Linked DNA regions of Drosophila melanogaster. The protein of the gene in region 3 interacts with the protein of the main gene of each other region in a pairwise test. Each region holds a gene or a part of one and is shown on either strand. Other genes may lie near its edges. The genes, in order: CG31415, Tsf2, CG6845 and Rnf146.

The links.
Region 1: the proteins of CG6845 (region 3) and CG31415 interact in a two-hybrid assay, tested with the Drosophila melanogaster proteins (one large-scale study listed by BioGRID).
Region 2: the proteins of CG6845 (region 3) and Tsf2 interact in a two-hybrid assay, tested with the Drosophila melanogaster proteins (one large-scale study listed by BioGRID).
Region 4: the proteins of CG6845 (region 3) and Rnf146 interact in a two-hybrid assay, tested with the Drosophila melanogaster proteins (one large-scale study listed by BioGRID).

The regions. Positions count from the first base shown.
Region 1 is NT_033777.3:9,741,886-9,745,170, reverse strand, and holds CG31415 (uncharacterized protein), read right to left. Parts: upstream 1,655-3,285; 5' UTR 1,612-1,654; coding exon of another isoform or gene 1,504-1,611; intron 1,440-1,503; coding exon of another isoform or gene 1,309-1,439; intron 1,260-1,308; coding exon of another isoform or gene 1,157-1,259; intron 1,102-1,156; 5' UTR 1,096-1,101; coding exon 622-1,095; 3' UTR 509-621; downstream 1-508. Other genes in the region: CG34409 (uncharacterized protein), read left to right, coding at 1-490, 1,157-1,259, 1,309-1,439, 1,504-1,611, 1,742-2,118; Pnn (pinin), read right to left, coding at 2,952-2,971, 3,203-3,285.
Region 2 is NT_037436.4:12,529,915-12,535,697, forward strand, and holds Tsf2 (transferrin 2), read right to left. Parts: upstream 3,811-5,783; 5' UTR 3,699-3,810; coding exon 3,638-3,698; intron 3,565-3,637; coding exon 3,137-3,564; intron 3,058-3,136; coding exon 2,924-3,057; intron 2,859-2,923; coding exon 2,698-2,858; intron 2,639-2,697; coding exon 2,187-2,638; intron 2,124-2,186; coding exon 1,959-2,123; intron 1,893-1,958; coding exon 834-1,892; 3' UTR 522-833; downstream 1-521. Other genes in the region: nst (nesthocker), read right to left, coding at 21-121; CG34242 (uncharacterized protein), read left to right, coding at 4,153-4,329; Pmm2 (phosphomannomutase type 2), read left to right, coding at 4,741-5,505; CG4069 (uncharacterized protein), read right to left, coding at 5,598-5,783. UniProt on the Drosophila melanogaster protein: Iron-binding protein and component of septate junctions that form the paracellular permeability barrier in epithelial tissues.
Region 3 is NT_037436.4:144,453-149,583, forward strand, and holds CG6845 (uncharacterized protein), read left to right. Parts: upstream 1-1,980; 5' UTR 1,981-2,051; coding exon 2,052-2,254; intron 2,255-2,319; coding exon 2,320-2,630; exon of another isoform or gene 2,631-2,685; coding exon 2,686-2,946; intron 2,947-3,000; coding exon 3,001-3,214; exon of another isoform or gene 3,215-3,277; coding exon 3,278-3,431; intron 3,432-3,483; coding exon 3,484-3,961; intron 3,962-4,009; coding exon 4,010-4,193; intron 4,194-4,251; coding exon 4,252-4,389; intron 4,390-4,442; coding exon 4,443-4,518; 3' UTR 4,519-4,604; downstream 4,605-5,131.
Region 4 is NT_037436.4:19,636,807-19,644,750, forward strand, and holds Rnf146 (ring finger protein 146), read right to left. Parts: upstream 6,011-7,944; 5' UTR 5,862-6,010; coding exon 5,546-5,861; intron 5,219-5,545; coding exon 5,088-5,218; intron 4,413-5,087; coding exon 4,259-4,412; intron 4,179-4,258; coding exon of another isoform or gene 3,682-4,178; exon of another isoform or gene 3,553-3,681; intron 3,513-3,552; coding exon 2,767-3,512; 3' UTR 1,740-2,766; coding exon of another isoform or gene 1,645-1,739; 3' UTR 401-1,644; downstream 1-400.

The DNA.
Region 1 (3,285 bases), on a different chromosome or scaffold from region 3:
GGCAGCCGGCACTCCCACACACACGGGGATTATCTGGAAGCGGAGACCAATCTGCATGACTACTGGAACTTCGAGGAACAACGCAATTGTCCCCAGCCCGTGGAACCAGAGTTCTTCGACCGACGGTTCGCCTTGGGACACCACTTTCTGTATCATGTGGAGCACGAAGAACGGGATACATTACTGCGACCCGTGCCAAAGGATAAGCCCATAGTATTTCCCGGGGACCTACGCTTCCAGCGGCAGGGAGAGGAGGCAATTGACTCCAACATAGATCAAGGTCCGCCCCTGGCGCCGTTTACCACAACATTAGCTACACCAATTGAAACAATTCCTGCTTCTTTATCCACAACAACCGCATCGATGCCACCTTTCGCACAGGAGAACACCCAAGGATGTGGGATAAATGTAGAGAGCCGACTGCTGGGAGGAGATCAGGCTAGTGCCGGACAGTTTCCCTGGCTGACAAGGATCGCTTATCGCAACCGAAGTAAGTACATCTTATGTTAGGCTAAATACGCAATTTCGAATTTATTTTACCCAACGCAACGCCTCTTAAATGCTCTTAAACTTACTCCGCATTGGAGATCTGAGCCGGGCCCAATGCCGTCCTGTCTGCGCTCATCCAATTTCACTGGCCACAATAACCATTTTTAATGTAAGGTAGACGCCGACGGCAAAGAGCAGAGCAGCCAGTCCCAGAGCCTTGGGTCCGCGATTGTTTGGTGGGGCACTCAGCCCAAAAGGTCCTCCTCCGCCTCCACCACCGCCATTGGGAGCATTTCTGCCTCCGGGACCACCACTACCTCCAGGGCCATTTCTTCCTCCAGGGCCACCACCTTTTCCTCCAGGGCCACCTCTTCCTCCAGGGCCTCCCTTACCGCATTTATTGCACTGCTGTCCGCCGCAAGGTTTGGGGCCACACGTTCCACGCTTTTGGGGCGGGCCCCCTCCACGACCACCTGGGCCGCCTCCACCGGCACCAGGGGCACCTCCACCAGCACCTGGACCGCCCCGTGAGCCAGGAGCTGGGCAAGAATCAGGGTTGTTGCTCTGAGGTGGTAGACTTCTTCCTGAACAAGGGCAAGCGCACATGTTGAGCTGAAAACAAGAAAAAATCTTTATTCTTACAGAAGTTTTACGATAATATTTTCAGGCAGCAGCCGCATTAGCTTTCGCTGCTCCGGATCCCTGATATCCAGCAACCACATCGTAACTGCCGCCCACTGTGTGGTCAACCTAGTCAGCGATTTGGAACTGTAAGTCTAAAGCCTAATTAAATCTTTTGTAATCCACGCTCTTTCGTAGGTCCCATGTTCGATTGGGAAGTCAGGATGGGGCGACTCCGTTTGCCATCGAGCAGGTTATAGTTCATCCGAACTACGACCAGCCCAAGTATGCAAATGACATTGCCCTCCTACGAATCAACAGCACTAATGGTAAGAGATTATACTCCTATCCTAGGTCAATGATTACGCTGAATAACCACCACCAACCTTGCAGGCACTTTCACACCCATATGCTTACCCTTCAACGGGCCAATCACACTGGGAAACAGGCTGATAGGACAAATTGGAGTGGCTGCTGGTTGGAGTATTGGGAGTACTGAAAGTTAGTCTCGAAACAACTTTATATCTGATCTGTTACATTTTTTAACTTACTATCAATGCGATCGAAATATAATTCAGTGCATATTAGGTTTTAAATGTATATAACATTCTCTACTACAAATTTTATCCAGATAATAGTTCGATGGACCCCTCAAACTCCACCGCTGGGGTGCGCTTCATCCGTTTGCCCATCGTGAACACCACCAGTTGCGCCATCGCCTATGCCAGTCTCAGTGAGAACTTCCAGCAGCCTATTGTGATTACTCCCAACCACCTGTGCGCCCAGGGAATGCCCATGAATGACGTGTGCCGAGGCGATAGTGGCGGCCCCTTTATGGACGACGGTACCTCCGGCGTCTTTGGAACAAGTGGACGTTATACGATCATCGGCATCGTGGCCTTTGGACCGACGCTGTGCGGCGTGACCACCATTCCGGGGGTCTACACCCTGGTGAGTAGCTTCTCCGATTGGATACTGCGAAGCATCGCCGAAGGATCTGACCAGTGAGCGGTCGTGTTGGGAACCCATCCCTAGCAAATTACATCCAAAGCTTCCAATGCCAAAGTCTTCAGAATACATCGACGTAAAGAACAATGATTCATACATTCTACGGATAAATACAAAAATTCGGTTCCACTTCAAATCACCTAAATTTCAATAAAATGTACGTGTATAACAATCGTATTCATCAAATTTGTATTTTTCTACTGTATATGGCGGATGTCAATGCTCTCATTTTATTTTCAGAAAAACAATGTTCTTTTTTTACACGAATACAGTACAAGAATCAGAGGTTAACATATTATTTTTTCATTAATTGCTTCTGACTACTGGTCTTAATTAATAATGTTAATAGACGGCGAAGAAGGTATAATTATCTTATAAGAGTTCTTAACTTATCGCTTAAAGAATTATAATTGTTTTAACGCCTCATTTTAAATTAGTTACTTCCTCAAACAATTTGGAAGCGAGAATAAAATATGTGATTTAGCTTCAGGATGATTATATCTATAAATACATAATTAGGTATTTAATGTTCCTATTTCGCGATCCAATATCTTGCGTGTAAAATATTTTTTAGTTTTATTTACAATTTTACAAATTCTTTTGAAAGATACAAATATAGCTTGCTTGCAGTAAACAATTTTTTTTTTCCAAGTTTTATTTCTAGTAGGACATAAATAATGGCAATAAAGAATAACTGGTTTTGTCCACAAATTGATGTTCTTAAACACCCCTTCATTCGGTGAAGTAAAACAATTGCTTTTGCAAATAATTTGTTAAATTGCATTAGTTGTAATCCTTTATTCCTAGAATAGCATCATTTACTTTTGGGTACTTTACTTAACGTATAATAAAGCTGCAATAAAAACAGGAAGTAGAACATTGAAACAAAGGTATTTGAGTTGATAAATACGATATAACTTTTAAATGTAATCACCGCATTGTAATTTATTTGCTTAAGATCTGGTTTTTGTATTATAAATTAAAGTTTCATAAATAAGTTTTATAAATTGAAACCCAATTGCCCTACACAGCGATATCCGCACGATCATATTTCAAGCCCTAGTGCAAACTGAAGTTTACTTACACTTATCCAACTGCTCTTCGTCGTCAGGCTCTTCATAGAAACTTTCGTCTATTGCAGTATCGTCTTCCATCTTCCCAAAGTTC
Region 2 (5,783 bases), about 12 Mb from region 3:
TAATGGAGGCAACTACTCACTTGCCGCGAAAGCCAGCTGTTCCATATTGGATGGTCTCCTTGGAGGTCTTTGGGTACATCTCGCGGGCGAAGGCGTAGACGGTGCGCAGGTTAATAGACATCTTGCGATACTCGAGGGCGGTGCCACTGGTCCAGAGCGAGGTGAAAGGTTCCGTCCGGTTTTTCCGGACTTTCGAAATTTAACAATTCCACAGATGTGTGCAGGCGGGTGTGACCGTCGTTTCGCGGCACTGTTCCACCCTTGCTTATGCGGCCAAGCGGTCACACTGCGCTGAAACTTGTAACTACGCTATTTTCTTTAATTTCAAACATTTTACTGGCTTTATAAACAATACAGAGTGTTTTAAGGTTAAATGCAATATTTACCAGCGTAAATTTCAATAACATCTATGTTTCAAAGCGATGTTAGCGCACATATTCAATTTGAATTTGGCGGCTACAATTGCGGTCAAGATATTAGGATTCTTCAAATGATACTAATTCAAAATAAGCAAAATAACTCCTTTATCTAGTTATTTTATTTGTATACTTACATAAGCGGTTGTAAAAGATTCGGCTTACATCTCCTAGGTACATTTTTTGGACGGTCTTAGTTGGTATGTACACAAACAAATACTATAATAAGGCACAGGACTTTATAAATTATAAACTATAGCCTTCAACAGATATTTTTCGGCTAGTTAGAGTTTCATTTTCGGACGGAAGGGATTTCACATTTAACTTAATCATATTTGGAATGTAAAAATGTTGATATGTTTTCTCTTTGTGCTAGAGATGCTTGTAGAATTCTGAAATCTAAGTGAGTCTAGTGGCTTAGAGCATTGCAACCAGCGAACCCACGAGGAGCAGGCCCACGGATAATGCCAACTGGGAGGCACCAGCATAGCAGTCGGTGATGCGGCGTGCTCGCATAAAATCGCTGCCCAAATAGGCATCATACCTGCGCTTATTGGGCGGAATTACTTGCAGCTGCCGCGTGGCGTCCTGGAAGATCAGATCATAGTGCCCGATCGGCGAGGAGAACATGCTGAAACTGAAGGCGTCCACTTCCTTGCGACCGTACAGTTGTTGGGCATAGGTCAGCAGATTGATGTAGGCATTCATCTGGGTCTCGTTGTAGTTGACTCCGCCGCGGGTGACCACAGCATTGGCCTTAACCTTGCCCAGATTGCAGCGCTTGTAGTCCTGGATCTCGGCACGAGTACCATCCGTGCAGAGCAGCTCAAAGTCATCGTTTAGGGCATTCCTGGCCCACCATTCCTTGCGTTTGCCGCCCGTGCTTTCCATCACCGTGGTGTGCTTCATGAAGGCCACGTGACCGCCGCCCTCGACGAGGCAACGGAATGCACCCGTGTGCCCGTAGTATTCCTCGGAGGCATCGCGACGACAATAGCGATAGCTAGTTCCATGACACAGATCGCACATGCTGTCGTAGGGCACACCGGTGTTGTACTCATTGCTAATGGCACCCGGCACGCACGACTTGGTGAAGTACTCCGCGGCAGCTCGAACCGAATCGCATCCGTAGGGACGAATCCAGCCGTTCGAGATGAAAAGCGCCATCGGATATGTCCAGCCAGCGGCGGTGTTAATGCCCGTATGGCAGGTATTCTTACCCTTCAGGTAAGTTAGCTCCGTATCGGGATCATCCTCCTTGGCCACGGCAACCACATAATACTCGGGCTCGCCCAGATTGTACACCTCCGACATGAAGGGCACCAGGTCGTAGTTGAGGCCACCAGTGTAGACATCGCCGGCATCGAAAACGGAGATGTCTGCTTTGCCCGCTTCGATGAACTGCATGCAGTTGATGTGGGAGTGCATTTTCTTGCAGATGAGTTCTGGTTTCAGGAGGTGAGCTTTCAAGGCAGTCTAAAAGTGTTTTTGTAAAGGATCATCAACTCATCTTGCTATCCATATATTCACTCTTCAACTCACCCTCATCTTGATGCATTTATCAAGCTCATTCTCCGAAGTCACGCAAAGCGTCATCGCTGGAACTGGACACTCACGGATGCCGTAGATAAAGTTAATGGCAGGGCCTAGGTACTTGGTAAATGACTGATCATCTTCGGGAATCACGGTTAGAGCGCGACTAGAATCCTGTCACAAAACAATTGAATGTTAAGTATGTATTTCGGATCACGGAAAATATGATCCACTTACCTGGAACAGCAAATTTGGCTTGCCATAGCGCTTCGACTCGAAGATGCGGAACTTCTCATAGAGTATGGAAGTGTTCGTGCCGTCCTGCTGGTTTCTTTCCTCTGCAAAACTGCTGTCCAATCGTTCGCTGCGATACTGATCGTATTGATTCTGCGTTCTGTACGGATCATTATTATCGAACTGGCCATAGGCATTCTGATCGTTGATGTTGTTGCGGCTGTTGAAGCTTTGTCCTCCCTGCCTGCTCTGATCATCACGTGTGCCATCGGAGTACAGCTCGGCAATGCGCTTCAAAAACTGCTGATACTGCTTGCGATCGCTGAAGCTGCGAGCCGAAGATGTGACAATGGCATCGGCGGGCACTTGGCCCCAATTACACTGGCGATAATCGTTGATGGAGGCACGACGACCATCACGACACAGCAGCTCAAAAGTGTCGGGTGCTATGTTCTCTAAAAAACGCAGCTTAGATCAGTAATGGGTTTTCAGAAGTTTCCCTTTGGTAACTCACTGAATTCGGTGGTTTGCAGCATTTCATTCACAGTCGAATGGCGCAAGAAGGCAACATCTCCTTTTTCAAGCAGACATTTGAAGGCGCCTTCGTAGCCGAAGTAGGGATCTGCAGATGAGCAGCGTCCTCCGGGTATCTTTCCAGTGCAAAGCGTACAAAGTCTGGTTTGAAAATTGATTTGTTGTTAGTTAATGTGTGTAAAATTGTGGCTTTTATGCGTCATTACTTATCGGAGTTGTCGCCAATTGGATTGTGTTTGTCGGAAAGCGAGTACACAGCACACGAATTATTGAAATAGCTGGCGGCCGTCTTCACCTGGTTGTTGCAGTCCACCACTTCCATGCCGCCCTCCCTTTGGAGCTGCAAAACGATAAAATTTGTTTGTTAGTTGCCTAATGAAACAAATAAACAATCAACTTAAAAGAGGAGTTCTACTCACCGTGTGAATGGGCACAATCCAACCGGCCAAGCTGCCCACCCAGGGGAAGCACACCCTCTTGTTGCGCATGTCGCGCAGATTGTTCAAGTCTGGTAGAGATCCCTTCTTGATCACGGCTACGGATTGATAGTCCGCAAAGCCGCCCTCCAGTTTCTCCTGCATAATGGGTATGAGGGAGTTGTACCGTCCAGCAGTGAAGACATCGCCCGCATCCAGCGTGGTGATGTGTGCCTTCTCGCGATCAATGTGATGGATGCACTCATCCGCACTGTAGGCCATGAAGCAGGTGAGATTGAGGAACACCTCGTCGAATAGTGCCCGATCCCGCTCGATGGCCACCGTAAGGTTCTGGCATTTGTACTGCTCCGCCTGGCTCTTGGTGCACCACACCATCCGTGTGGTCTTGTGCTCATCGTAGTGATGTTGTGCTGCAAAATCGTGGTTTTAACTCATGCCAACGCCCTAGAAATGGGCGACTTTCGTATTCCAGCCGCAACTTACCGTTAGCGAGCGTAAAACATAAGGCGCCGACTAGAGCCACAAAAACGAGGCTGCTAGCCATATTCGGGATATAAGAATATTAATAAGTGTATTAACTAAAAAGATCTATCTGCAAAAACAATTACTCAAACAAAACACCACACCCAAGCCCAGCTCAAGGAAGCCAGTGTAACCAGAGCGGGCAGAAATAGACATGATTTCAAAAAATACCAACAGGTACACACAGTGGAGAATGCTTAAGTGAGATATGAATCAAGAAACATATTTAGCATTCAGGATATTTCTAGTTTAATCTATACCTATATCTATTTTTATTATATATACAGTAATCTTGTTTATTTATATTTTACTTTCTATCAGGTTATCTCTTCTGTAGTATTTACTGCACTTCACCGGTGACCACAGTAGTGTGACCACACACTTGGCGTTTTCTAGCATCTTACGGTCAACCAGGTGTTTTGTGTTTTATAATAACAAACCGAAAAGTCAGCTAAAATATTCCATATTTTAGCTAAATGGCAGTCCTGCGTGGTTGGAGATTCGTTGGATTCGTGTCCTGCATCGTGGGCGCCGTGGGCCTCACCCTATACCCCGTCATTGTGGACCCCATGGTTAACACTGAGAAATACAAAACCCTGCAGGAATACAGCAAAATCAAGAGAGATGAACTGCAGCACATTAAAAGGCAGTAGAACCCCCTGTTATGCTACACTTAAGAACCCAAATATGTGTATTCTAGTTTGCCTGATAAAGAACTGCAATGTACAAATTGCTATTAAAATAGAAACTATTTGTACCCTGACAGCATGAACTCCATGAATTAAACTGTTACCTATACATGCAGGAAAATCCAAATGATTGTGCTTGAATGTTTATACTCTCATTGTTTTAAATAGTAAACCTAACGTAAAAGGCAATTCAAAACATTAATTTTGATTGCACTTGGATTCCGGAACTGGTTCCCCTTGCCGGTGCATCGAAAGCTTTAGGGGATTTCTCACCACTGCGTTGCCGCTTGTAAAATTCTTTATCTCGAATCATACGTGGACATAAATATCTGGATATTAAACACCTGCTGATTTACCACAAAATTTAAATGCAAAATGACCACCGCCGCATTGAAGCGTGATGAAATCCTGCTGCTCTTCGACGTGGACGGCACGTTAACGATGCCCAGATCCGTGGTCACTCCGGAGTTCGAGGAGTTCTTCTACTCGCGGGTTAAGCCGAGGGCGACCATCGGAATCGTCGGAGGCTCGGATCTGGAGAAGATGTTCGAGCAGCTGAATGGCAGGAAGATACTCAACGAGTTCGACTTCATATTCCCGGAAAATGGGCTGGTGCAGATTGAGGGCGGAAAGGAGGTGGGAAAGCAGAATATCATCATGCATTTGGGCGAGGAGACGGTGAAGCGTTTCATCAACTTTGTGCTGCGCTATCTGTCCGAACTGGATGTGCCCATCAAGAGGGGCACCTTTATCGAATTCCGGAATGGCATGATGAACGTTTGTCCCATTGGCAGGCAGTGCACTCGGGAGGAGCGCAACATGTTCGCCGAGTACGACATTGAGCACAAGGTGCGCGAGAAAATGATCAAGGACCTGAAGCAGGAGTTTGCCGATGTGGATCTCACGTACTCGATTGGTGGTCAGATCAGCTTCGATGTCTTCCCGCATGGTTGGGACAAGACCTACTGCCTGCGACACATCGAAGCGCACTACAAGTTCAAGGAAATCCACTTCTTTGGCGATAAAACGGAGCCGGGCGGCAATGACTATGAGATCTATAGCGATCCTCGAACCATCAGCCATAGGGTATATACTCCCAAGGATACGCAACGCATTCTCACCGAGATTCTGGAGCTGTGAGAATTTCGAGCTTACTCAGCAGTTGAAAATATTCCATTTTTATACATGTGTACAATTGTTAACCAAATTTAATATATAGTCACTGGAAATTCTTAATCCGTGTCCATGTCCGAGCTGCTGCTGGAGATATCCTCCTCGCTGCCACTGCACTCCTCGTCGGAGCTGCTGCTGTCGCTATCCTCCCATTCGTGGCCCTTCAAGCTATTGGGGATTAGCACCTTCCATTCCAGTTTGTGCAAGTCCAGGGCGTAGAAATCGTTGTAGGTCAACTGCTTGTC
Region 3 (5,131 bases):
GAGCCGGAAAACCATCGATGTCACAAAATCGGTGTTTTTCCAGCTTCACGCTCAACTGTTTAGGTAATTCTAATATACAGTTTAACGCTAATTATCATTATTTATCATTCTCATTATGCTTTTCGTTTACCTATTTGCCCTATAATGAAATGTATAAGACTTGAGCTACCCTAATAAAAGAACGAATTTTAAATTATATTTTTATTTTGTAAGGGCTACCACTAAAAACTCAACAGTCGTTCAAAGATTGTCAAGATTGGCGGTCGTTGTCTCTCCAACTGACTCCAATTGAATGTGTGTAAAACAAGTCTTATACAAAGATATATGTAATAGATGTAAGACAGACTGCAAAGTTTCTTGAAACAAATTAGTTAAATGTTGTAAATGTCTAAGTTGCTACCACTGCTACTACTAGAACGCGCCCATCCCCTCCCATATTTACCTTTAAGCTACAGTAATTAAGTGATGAGCAGAGGTGTAGAGTAAGGAGTCGAAGTTGAAAGAAAGCAAAAAATACATTTTGTACATACATATCGCCGTTGGTCGATATACATCTAAACATAATTTAATTTTTTGTTACTTTTAAGTAAATTATTTTTGGCGACCTAAGTAAATTAAAATTAACGCAATATGCAACAACACACATAAGTATACAATTAATTAAATTAAACGAAAATTACGATTTATTAAACGATGTCATAGAACGGAGAGCCACTGATAGTGAGAGAAATCTGTAAAATAAATATTTAAACAAATTATATATTATCTATATATGAGTACCAGAACAAGAATGTCAAAAAAGAGAAGCATGTAAAAATAAAAAATATATTACGAGTAAAACAAAAAAAGATAATCGAGCGAAAGGAACGTATCATTAACAGGAAAAATTAAAGAAAAATACAAAAACATTTCAAAGTAACAAAATTACGATAAAATTTGTTTTTATTTTGGTTCGTTTGGTTATTACAATTGGCAATATCTAACTGATTGGGTAATAAGTGCGCGTATCCCAGTATCCAACGTTGCAAAATGATACAACATTTCAATAGGTTTCAAAATCTACGTAAGATACACATAAAACGACCTGACTACTTTGTTCTACCCTACGCTTGTGCTGCAGTACCTAAAATCGAAGAAAGAGTACAGTGAACAGGGCTAAGATATAGAAAGACAGCTCTATTTCTGCAATCCAAAAAGGGCTTGCCCTAATTAAAATAATTGCAAATGCATTGCGCTTCAAATCCAGAAGCCTTTTTTACCTTTTATAGCCTACAGGAAAAAAGAAAAAAGAGGAGATAACGGAAAGACCCATAAAATCGAAAAGTGCATAGGTAAACCTGTAGGACGATTAGTGGAATACTAAAATCATCATATGTTTTAATCAATAAGTATTCCAATTTTACCAGGGGCAAGTGTATGCGAATTCTTTCAGTACGAGTATTTAATATATTTATTTTTATCATAATTGTATAAAAACCTGAAGCTCCAAAATAACTTGATCATTTTGAGAAAAATATTAATAAAAATTATTTTTTTGTTTATTTTCTTATTATTTAGTTACATATAATTTTATTTTATGTTTATGTTTTTATAATTTTTATTTTATTATTCATTATATTATAATAAATAGATTCGTTGAATAGTATTAATATTGGATTTGAATGCAGCGATGCGTTTTACGCATTTCAAATCCGAAACTCGCTTAGATCACACGACGTAACTTTATAAGATATATAAATCAAAAATAACTGTTATTTTGAAAGAGAAAAAATGATGTTGTTTGAAATAAAGGAACAAAAAAGCGAAAAACAGAAAAAGCAATCGGTTAAGTTTTAAATTCTTTTTGGGCGCCAAAAATGAATCGGATAAGCCAAAAACAACAAACAATAGGCTTTTCGATTTTAAGAAGGGTCACATTTCCGATAACAATGAAAACTCACATTTAAATTGGTCACACTAAGTGGGGCGCCAAGAGAAAATATCGATATCGATTCCGACTGTTGTGTTAGACTTTACAAATAAATTACAAAGAAATCGATCAAAATAAAATCATGGAAGAAAGTCAGCCAAGGTATGGCGCTATGTGGACATTCAAGCTGGTGGCACCATACGTAATTGGCGGCTACCTATGCGGCCTCGCGGTAACGCTCGCATGGAACTGGTGGCAGCTGGGCCACTTGGTTCTGGGTCTTAATCTCACCTTCGCGATTCCGGTGGCGCTTGTTCTGGCGGTCTTTTACAGCAGGCCCGTAAGGTAAGAACTACCTGAAAAAGCCCAAAACGATTTGTGTCTAACAGTGTTCCCTCACTGGCTGCCAGGTGCATTGTGACTTTGGCCCTTCCCTCGCTGTGCAGCTCTCGGGGAAGGGCGTTCCTCATCAGCCTTGCCTTTGTTATTGCCGCAGTTGGGCCTACGGCGAACATTCTAGCCAATTTGAAGGTGATGCTCCGCAGCCTCGCTTGCGGACAGGAGCTATTGCGTCAGGCGCTTGGCCAGATGTTGGACGTAATACTGGAGCCGGTGAATGCCATCCAGCTAGCGGTGGATCTCTTGATGCGGGAAGTGCGTCGGGTGCTCAAGCTGGCCATGGTAGTGCTGTTACGCATTCAGGACCAATTGATCGCAATTAGTGAGTATCTGTATTAAAAAGTGCTGCAGTTTTCTCTGCTGATTCATTTTTGTAGTTAAAACCCTGAAGAACTGCGCCGCTTGGCTGAAATCCATCGTAGACCTGTGCAACACAGAAATGGGCACTCCCTGGGCACGTTGCAAAAAGACGGCGCATCACGCAATGATCAGGTGCCAGTCAAAGATGGGCGTATTCAAGGCGCTATGCCATGCTGCAAAGCTGTTTCTGGCCCTCTGCTATCCAGCCAAGATCATCGATGTGTTTTGCAGCGGTTACTGGGATCTCAGCTGGGGTCTTCTTGATAAAATCGCAGAACGTGAGAGTGTAAACAACGATCGGTACTTTGGTTATTAGTTATACGATCTCGCAGGCTACCGTGAATTTGTGCGGCACATCGAGGAAATGTTTGATGCCAATATCACTTTTGAGCACGAATTTTTCTTCGATACAAACTCTTCAAAGAGCCTGACGGACGTGGGGGAGGAAATTTTACAGGATATTAACAAGCGTCTGTCGTCGTTTATCTTCTTGAGCAGCTTTGTGGACATTCTCTGCTGGGTCATGGTGGTTACTGTATTTTTTAAGTAGGCAAGAGCTTAATCATCTTATTAATTTAGTGTTGGTGATGCCTCAATTGTTCCCATCAGAGCCACCATCTTCTACCTTCGATATATGCACAGCCGGCAATTTCAGAATGTGTTCTTGACAAAGATACTAAGTGATATCGACCGGCGGCACGAAAAGCACGGTTACGATCCACTGCTACCCCTTCATCAGCTTGAAAGGGCAAAGTATATGAAGGTAAGGTTTCCCTACGTTTCCCTGACATAATATTACAATGATTTCATTGCAGCTTACTAGCTTGCGTTTGACTTTGTTTGAGTTCGTGTCCATTGTTGAGAACGCCTGTTTCATGGCCACAACCTGCTTGCAGTTGTTTGCGATTTGCTTTCTGGATTACGGGCTGTTCTGGCTGTTGGCAACTATATCCCTCCATGGCCACCAAGAGACTGGGCTGGAGGTGCCCGCTTACGTCGATCTAGAGATTAAGGGTGGGGGCTTTGTGGCGGATGTCATGCGGGGAATCGCTAATGCCTTTCGACCCTTGACGCAAAAAAGCATTTTAGACGTGAATCCTTGCCTCCCGCTGCCCGTGAAACCTGATTATGCGGAGTATCTAATTATATTATTACTCTGTCTGCTCGCTTGGCTGATCCTTTTGGCCGAGCCGTATATTTTGCGTACTCGCCATCTTATAATGGCCCACTTTTATCCAAAACGCGCCAAGGAAAGAGGCATGTTTCTGTACAACATGATTTCCGAAGATAGAAGTAAGAAAGTACATACCTTTTAAAGTTGTTCTAATGTATTCTCTCCAGCAAGCATTTTTAAGTTTATCCGCCGCAGAAAGCGTAATGAGTTTAACCACACACGGAATGTGAAGCACACCAGAAACTACACTTGGCTGAACAATAGATTCTCCTGTTTAATGTGCATGTGCTCCTGCTGCTCATCCTGTCAAAGCACTGAGAGGTGCACCATATGTGGCCGATCTCTGACTCTGTAAGTAACTCCAATCGTTAAACACACTCCGGGTTACAGTTGGATGTCCCCTTTTTAGTTCAAATCGTAACCCCTGCGACACTCCTGGATGCAAAGGGGTTTATTGCGGTAAATGCTTTGAAAAGTCACACAATAAGTGTTGTCTGTGCAATCGACCAGTGGATTATGGTGATTTTTCCGACGTTACTGAAGTAGAGTGAGTAAAAACCAGGGTTTAATCGACTATTCTTAATGGTTTTGTTTGTGCAGCGACTCTTCGGACTATTCTGAAAAAGAGTCTTTTAGCGAAAGGCAGTACAGGAAGACCTGTGGAGGACAACGCTAGCAACGAGGGAAAAACAGTTAAACATAGAGGTTGTGAGCGCATACACGTTATGCAGATAGCTCAGAAATATAATATTTCCACCTATTAAATACCTGATATTCCAACAATTTAATATATGGTTATAGGTGAGTTATTCAATAAAAATAACTCTTGTTATTGCTGATCTGATGTCAGTGCAATTCCTACCCTTCACCGCCCATGGAAGTCGCAATACGGGGACTGCGTTGTTTGGCGAGCTTCTGGGCTGAAATTATTATTTAATTAAATACTACAGCGACAAATGGCTACACAGCAATTCAGAAAATAACCTTGTTCTCACCCCTGTTTTCGATTTTTTCTTTTTTATCAAAGGCTTGTTTGCTTGATACCTATTTTTATTTCTTCTTGGGCTATGACTGTAACGTGCTGTTGAACATCTTCTCATTATTGTTGACTTTCTCTTTACGACTGTTTAATAAATTCTGCTCTTCCCCCACATGCGGCTTCCATTTACCAAGCTTATACGAGCATTTATTATATAACACCCGTCGACTTGCACCGATCCCTCTAGACCCTATATCGACCCCTATCCACTTGACCACCATCGTTGACAGTCAACCACACACACTCGAAA
Region 4 (7,944 bases), about 19 Mb from region 3:
ACTGATCTCTTTGGAGAACATGTTAGTGGGTGGGGGCTTTTCTACATCGTGGAAAATACTTAGCGAATTCAGCGATCAATTGTATATTTACATAGTTAGAATTTCCATAGCATATATTCAGCGATCAATTGTATATTTACATACTTAGAATTTCCATAGCATATAATATTCATAATAAATGTCTCTACTATGAATTGGAAAAGCATTATTCTATACACGAAATATTTCGAAATTAACAACTTATTATTATGTTACGTACATATGTATAAAAATATTACCTTTATCACCCATGATAACAGCATAACGCCATAAGTATATAAGATCTTTTTGTCGCGGTGTATCCTTACCAATCACACAATCCACTTTTCCCTTCTTAGAGCCACCTCCCCCCTTCCACGTTATCAACAAATACCTTTTCTTGTATGTTCTGACCAATAAATTGTTATGCTGCCTGCGTGCGGCTCAGGCGTTTTCTTTTGGTCCATTGCGCATGAGTCATAGGGTTTCACGCATTTGAGGGACACCGAGGGCCAGTATCTCCCAGGGTTCCAGTTCCATGTCCAGGGTGCAGGTTCCATGCCCGTCAATCAGTGCCACTTGCGAGGGGGAGGGGGTATATGATCTCAACACAAGAATTGCCTTTAACAAGTCTAAGTTAAGGGTAGTTGAGGATCATTGAGATAAGGATCTTGTTGGTATTGTTGTGAGAACAATAATAGTGTATCAATGGAAGATTGGAATATCTCTTTCTTTTGTGCTTCAAAATAATGAATCATTTTGTTTAATATCTATTTGTTAGGAAAGTTATTTTTTTCACTTTGCCTTTTTTAAAAAAGGAATCCAATATGGTCAATTGGTTATAACACACTTTCTTTTTAAAGCTGCCATCATGGAAAACCTTTTAAATATGTTCCTCAATGTACGCAGTTCTGATCTAGAAATTTAATAAAGAACTGAGTTTCTTGAAATAAAAAATGTAAATATTTATTACTTCCATTCGCAGACAAGCGAGCATTAAAATAATATTTCACAAAGGTTTTGTGGTTTTTTTTATTGCCCAACTTAAATACATGTCCTAGGAGCTATTCTTACAAATGTGATCTTGCACAGAAGCCAGATCTCTAATCGACATTTATCGGATTCAGCAATATCTATTACTTAACATCTTGTATAAACTAAGTTGTAAATGCTTAATTCATTAATTAAATGTAATTATATTAGACGACAGAAAATGCTACGTGCTGTTTATTAGAGTTGCCTTATCAGTGCTGTCAAAAATACCGGAGCGAGTGCTGTTCAATAAATGTTTCTTGGCACATTTGGTTTTGATTTAATTGTTGAAAAGCTAAATGATTATTAAGTACGAATCGAATTGTTTAGAAACTGCCACCATAGGATAGGAAAACCATATCGAAAAGGCTCTGTATTCCAGATATGCAATGCAAATGATTGTAATTAAGACCATTTCATTCATTGTCAGTTATGGAATAGCAAATGTTATCAAAATCCAGTAAAATGCGCAATGGAAAATGCCAGAAAGTATTATGAGGTTGACAATGAGTTGCGGTGAAATCAATTTGAGGTTTAATTTTAAAACTGCTGTTGATATTACCAGGAGGGGCTTTTCGAAGTCGGGAGTCGGGTTCAGTAGAGCTTTAGGTATACCGTAGATATTAGGGAAGCAACGAATACGCACTTCGCTGTTAGAAGTAATGGCGGAGTACATATCGAAAACGAATCTATAAATAGTAGTCACAAAATTGAGATTATTAAATCGGGCGTATATCGTATCCGTAGCACATAGTTGTAGTATACAACATTAGGTCTGTCTAACAATTTTCCTTTAAATCTATTATTTAAAGCAACTTAGAGTATACAAAATATCAATATATTCAACTGTCACAGAAATGTTTTTGTTTAACGCACTTCACGGCGACTTAATAATTAATACTGCATCTGATTCCCCTGATGACAGTGCGCTTCGAAAACAGCTTGCATTAATTTAAATCTAAAAACTGTGTCAGAACATAGATACTGTGGAAAGTAAGTCAAATTAAACGATTCCGATTTAAGAAACGCACTGAATATCAATTATGTGAGTGGGAACTTCCTGCTAATTGAACTCACATGTCTAGTTAATCCCAATTCATAAATATTGTCTTTTTCACACTACTCTTTCTTGGTGGAGGAGCTTATATTTACTTTTGCCAGCTTGCAAATGAGACCATAGGGAGGGTTAACTTTCCGAATTCTTGTAGAACTCTTGATTTTGTAATTATTATGTACAGGTTAATTCAGAGAAATCCTATTCGGAGGTCTTACAGAGATTTCTTAGAGCATTACAGGCCACACAAATGGATTCAACCAATGCCACTGCTGTCCTTACCATTTCCTACTAAGAATACCATTTTTTTGCTTTAATTGGGTTAAGTTTGTTTGGGGAAAATTGAATATCGTATTAAATAGATTATTTATGTTTCTGCTGTAACGTCTATGTTTCAATATCTGATTTTATGTTTTAAGGAATATGTTTGTTTACCCTGTAGACATTCTTTTCTATTTTTTCTATTTTTCCTGTTCGACGCCCAACGCTCTGAGCCTATGGTTATATATGTTAGTTGATATATTCTCAGGTACGCGCTGCATTTCTCTAGTTAACATTCCCCTTCCGTATATCGAAATCTGCTTAAAGGAACATTTGATATTTTCTTTAAATGTATCGATTAGGCGAGCAACAATATAAGCTTTCTGGTAAGTAGATTATTTCTAAAATCTCTGGGGATTATCGTTGGACTGTGGCTGCTCGCCCGCCTCCAGCTGCTCCCGTTCCCGCAGCTCATGCTCCTGATCCTGGTCGTTGTTCTCCTCATCGCTGGAGTCAACATAGTTGCGCATGGCCAGCGCCTGGAAGTCGTTCAAGGCCTGCTCGAAGAGATCAATGGTGTGCTGGTTGTGGGCAATCACCTGTTGGGTGTTCCTCAGGTCACGCGTGATCAGATCCTGCATGGAACTTGAGGCAGGCGAGGAGGCAGGCGAGCGCCCTGCATCGTTTGAATTTGTGGAGTTGGATTGCTCACCGCTGCTGCTGAGATCATCGTTGAGATTGCTAGCCGTCAGTCCCCGAGTTAGTTCATCTGCATGAGCCAGCGTTGAGCCTATTATGTCGCTAGCGATTCTAATGGCCGCATCTGTGGCTGCTATGGTGGATATGAAACTGGAGGCAGCTGCTGCCACGGTGGTTGGATTGGCTGTGTTGGTTGGCCTGCTGAAGACGGTGTCGCTGGTCACCTGGTTGCCTTCGATCCGCAGACCGGCCACCCCCTTTTTGGGTATGGTGGCTAGGTCTCGCTTAACCCTCCGGCAGCGAGTGGGCTCATTCTGGCGCTGCTGGACTAGCTGCTCCAAGTCCACAATGTAGACGTAGCCGGCTACCAAAATTGTACAGGATTTGTCGCCCTTCTTAAAGGCATCTTCGATGTCCTGACTAGTGCGGTCATCGTACTGCCACCAACCTATAGTTAAACATTTTGACAAGAAAGAAAAATTCGGAATGGAATGGAATCGGTCCAATTCTTTTCGACGATTTGGTCATTTAATTACAGTTTGTTATTACGGAAATGGATGTGCGGAATGGGTAAGGAGTTAGGTGTTGTCATTAATTATTAAAGTGTTCTTGTATTTTTAGTTCTGGCTCAGTCCAGCAACTCCTCTCATTCCGCCAGAAACGTCATCCGTGCTCTTGCAGCGCATTATATTGCGGCTCTTTTCTGGAGTCAAGCGGAGATACTGTAAATTCTGCAAAAAGTCGATGATGTACATACGCCCGCAGATCTGAATGGGCAGTGTGCATGGATGCGGCCTAATGATGTTCAGCTCATCGGGGTCTAAGCTCATAATATCGTCCAATGATAGGGCTGGCGAGTCCCGACCATTGTTTTCGGAAGAGGCTGGAGCGCCCTGACCAGATGAACGAATAATGGTTGGGTATATAACAATTTCTGAATCGGCATTGTAGAAAATAATATTTTCGTCACACAGACAATAGTGATTGATAGGGTTTGGACAGTCCCGATCAAATAAAGGAGCAAGCTCAGGGTTATCTGCCTTGAATATCTCAAAGCCAGCATAGGCGATCTCGATGTCTGCATTGGTCCGAGAATCGTACGCCCACCAGCCCCCTAGATGGGTTTAGTGCGTGAAGGATTTGGGGTTTATGGGAATGAGGGACGGCCGGCACCAAAAGCTTAATTATACTCACCGTTTCTTCCCTCGTAATACCACTGGAAGCCGTCCTCGGTCGCGCGAGTGGTGCAGATGTCCTCAATGCCATTCACCAGCTGGGGATGGTCCAGGAACTCGGCGGGAATCTCGCGACGGCACATAGCACAACGGCGGTTCTTATAAGCAACACCCTGGAAAGCGTAAAATGACCAATGAGAAATTAAAATTTGATTCGACATCGCTATGTGTTGAAAAGCAATTGTAATTTCCTAACACATAAAACTTAACAAGAAGCGAAAATAATACATTTCAGAAAAGCATCTTATCATTAGCGTAAAAACGCAAAAATACGATCATACCAACCTAAGACCTTTACCCCACATTAAGTACACTGGAATAAAATATGAGGTCTTTTACCTCAACCAAAAAATAACAACTTGTGTTAAACGTTATAAGCATAGATGAAGTTTACAAAACTAAGGAAGTTGGAATCGCCTCTCTAAACCAACACTTTCCCACGACCAAACATGTTTCTGAACAGGAAAATGCACTCGAGTGCTAATTGGAGTGGTAGTCTTAGGCTAAAACTGGTTGAAATTGGCAGGAGATTGAGACCAATTGACAAGTCGTCAGCCGGAAGCCAATCTAATGCCATAATTTCTGGTCAGCCGTGTTCGGTTGGCATGCTAATCAATCAGTGAAACCAGCTGTCGCACCAAAGGGTTAAGAACAGCCTTGAACTTGGCTACGTGCTGTGGGTGATTTTGCTGATCGGGAATAATATTCAAGAAAAGCGAGTTTGAATGTGAATTGAATGACTAAGTGGCCACGAAAGGCTTCCGCTTTCGGCTTTCTGGGCTACCTACCTTCACGCACAAAAAGCAGAAGATGTGGCCACAGGGGAGACGAGCTGGGTGGATGCAGGTTTGCAAACAGATGGGACACTCCAAGGCAGCGGCCGCTGCAGAGGGGGAATCTTCGCCAGAAACGGCTGCCGCTAGAAATTGAGTTAATTGAAATAAGTTAAATCAAATAGAATAAGGATTAAGGGATATATGAATAATAACGATGCAAAAGTATAACTCTTGTGCTCTCAATAATATTATAGAATATTATTGTGCTAGTGAGTGCAAAATAATCTGTCATAATTCATAATTCCTTCTAGTATTGCTTTGAAATGCTTTTAGGAAGTCCTTCAAATTTGATTTCGTACATATGTATATGTACATATGCGTGTGTATGCGCTCTAGGAATAGTGCAAGTGTATCCTAAAGCTTTATAAAAGCAAAGGGAACTTCTTGTGGCGAAAGGCAACTTTGCTTACCTGCATCCACACCGGTGGCTAACGCTCCTTCGTCAGGCGAAGAAGCAAGTGAATCGGTATCCGAAGCAGCAGCTCCAGATGCGGATCCAACCGCCGGATCCTCGCCACTTCCGCCTCCTGAGTGGGCTGCAGCTGCCGCCGCCGCAGCAGCAGCAGCAGAAGTGGAGGGCGAGACGCAAAGATCGATGACTGGTGCGGTGGGACGCAGAGCTGCAACGAATTGCACATCCGTATCCTCGTCGTCGTCCAGCGCTATTACATCGCTGGTGTTGTTGTTGCTAGCTGCAATCTGCTCTGTGGAGCGCTGTTGCGACATGGTCGGATTGGATCGATTTCGTCAACAGCGGGGAAATCGAGCTGTTGTCGTCGACGTTGAGTTTTAAATTTTCACAAACAAACTTGAAACAAAAAATTGTTGCTGCCTGAGTATGACCAGCTCGGGCTGACTTTGAATTGCTAATGTCATCGACAAAAATACTACATTCGTTTCGGTATGACCGTTGACTGTATTTTCAGTGCTGCTAAGTTCTGAAATGGCGCCAATGAATTTATTTAAATATTATTTTCAGTCTTTGAAAAGTAGAGTCATTTATAGTTGCAAAATTGAAAACTTGTAATTATTTAAAAAAAAAGCTTTTGGTTATAGGATAATAAACTTATTTATTCCATTTTTAACGGTCAATAAAAGACCAACATTTAATAAAGATTATCCTAAGATAAAAGTATTTATAAAAAGTAAATTTTTTAAAATTTATTAAGCAGTTTATTATTTTATACATTTAACAAAGTACTAGAGAATGCCTTAAATCGAACTAACTTATATTCGGTCGAAAATATTTCTAAATTAATTGGCGCTGCTTTATTACCTGCAGCCGCCGCTTTAATAATGCTATATTAAATTCACAAAAACCAATTAAAATTATGCGCTTCATTACACGAAACACCTCTCGCAGCGAACTGCCATAATATTTATGTATGTATGTATGTATATCCCACCTTCATTGAGAATTTAACTTCATAAAAATTGACAGGCCTTCGGCCAGCGTTTTTGACCAGCGAAGGCATCACGCGCTTTTTAATATGCAGCCGGCGTGCGACAGGCCAAAAAAAGTGACACACAACAACAGGCAGTTGCAGTTGTCCTGCACAGGACCTTCGCACTCATTACATAAAAATCAATTTTTGGTTTATTTCTGCACTCGCCCCGCCCCACCACGCAATTGCATGTCATTTTTTGCCAATTACACCCACACCCGCACACTCGCGGCCAATTGCCTAATTGCGCGACGGCCAAACGCGTTGAAGTCAACTGGCGACGAGTTTTGTAAATTACTCTCGTTCTGCCAGCTTCGATCCTGCGACTCTGCGACTGCGAATGTGATGTCCTGCCGGGCTGTTTCATGCACGTGTCCCTTTGGGCGTTTTAAAAATGTGTTGCCCATCCTGGGATGCCACTCATTCGACGTGATTTGCCTTGGGGAATGTGTATTTACAGAAAGACAGCGAAAAAAGTATCTATAGTATCCAGAATTTAGACCACAAGTTTACCTGGTATTAACTCATATGCGAGTATTAAAGCCAATATAAATTACTTAATATTTAAACCATATTCCTTTGACACTAATACATTAATTAGTTGCTAGTTGTAACACAAAAGTATTCTATTATATTATTTAAACTATTAGCATCAGATTAACATGCAGTTTTACTTTAATTATGGTAATAGGAATATATATATATATATATATATATTTATTTTAATTAAATTTACGCACATCGACTCGAATCCAGCATACCCATCACTATATCATTCGAAGTGCACACACAGCAACTACTTAATATGCACGGCGAGTCCTTGAACTCTCGCCACTCAACCCTTTATCCTGTGTGCTCGTTTCGGCACTTGGTTTTTTGTCATAATTGTTCTATGTTGTGCACAATTGAATTTTTATTTGCCAGCAAACGATCGAGAAACAGAAGAAGAAATTTAAATGATGATTGCCGTGGCTCATTGTTTCATCGCTCTGTTGGTCCCAAAAATGTAAATAACCATAAAAAGTAACCCGCAGAAATAAAGGAGAAGAAAACCTCAAATCTTAATGTAATTACAACGGTGGACGCCTCAAGATTATTAACACAAAAGAGGGTCGTCATAAGCATAAAAATATTGCCCCCCCTCCCCAGCATGGCAGATTTCGTCAGCCTGTTTTTTTTTTTGTTACCATAAAAAAGGGCGAATAGAAGGAAATTTCCTGGCTGCCGCTGTTTGCACCCTCGTTTTGTAATAAGCTACTTTTGCATCTGGCCTATTGCTCTTTATTTTATCATTTGCTGGCTTGTTCCTTGCTCCCCCTTAAACATTTTATTATACCCATTTTTTGGGTCCTAATCCCATCTTA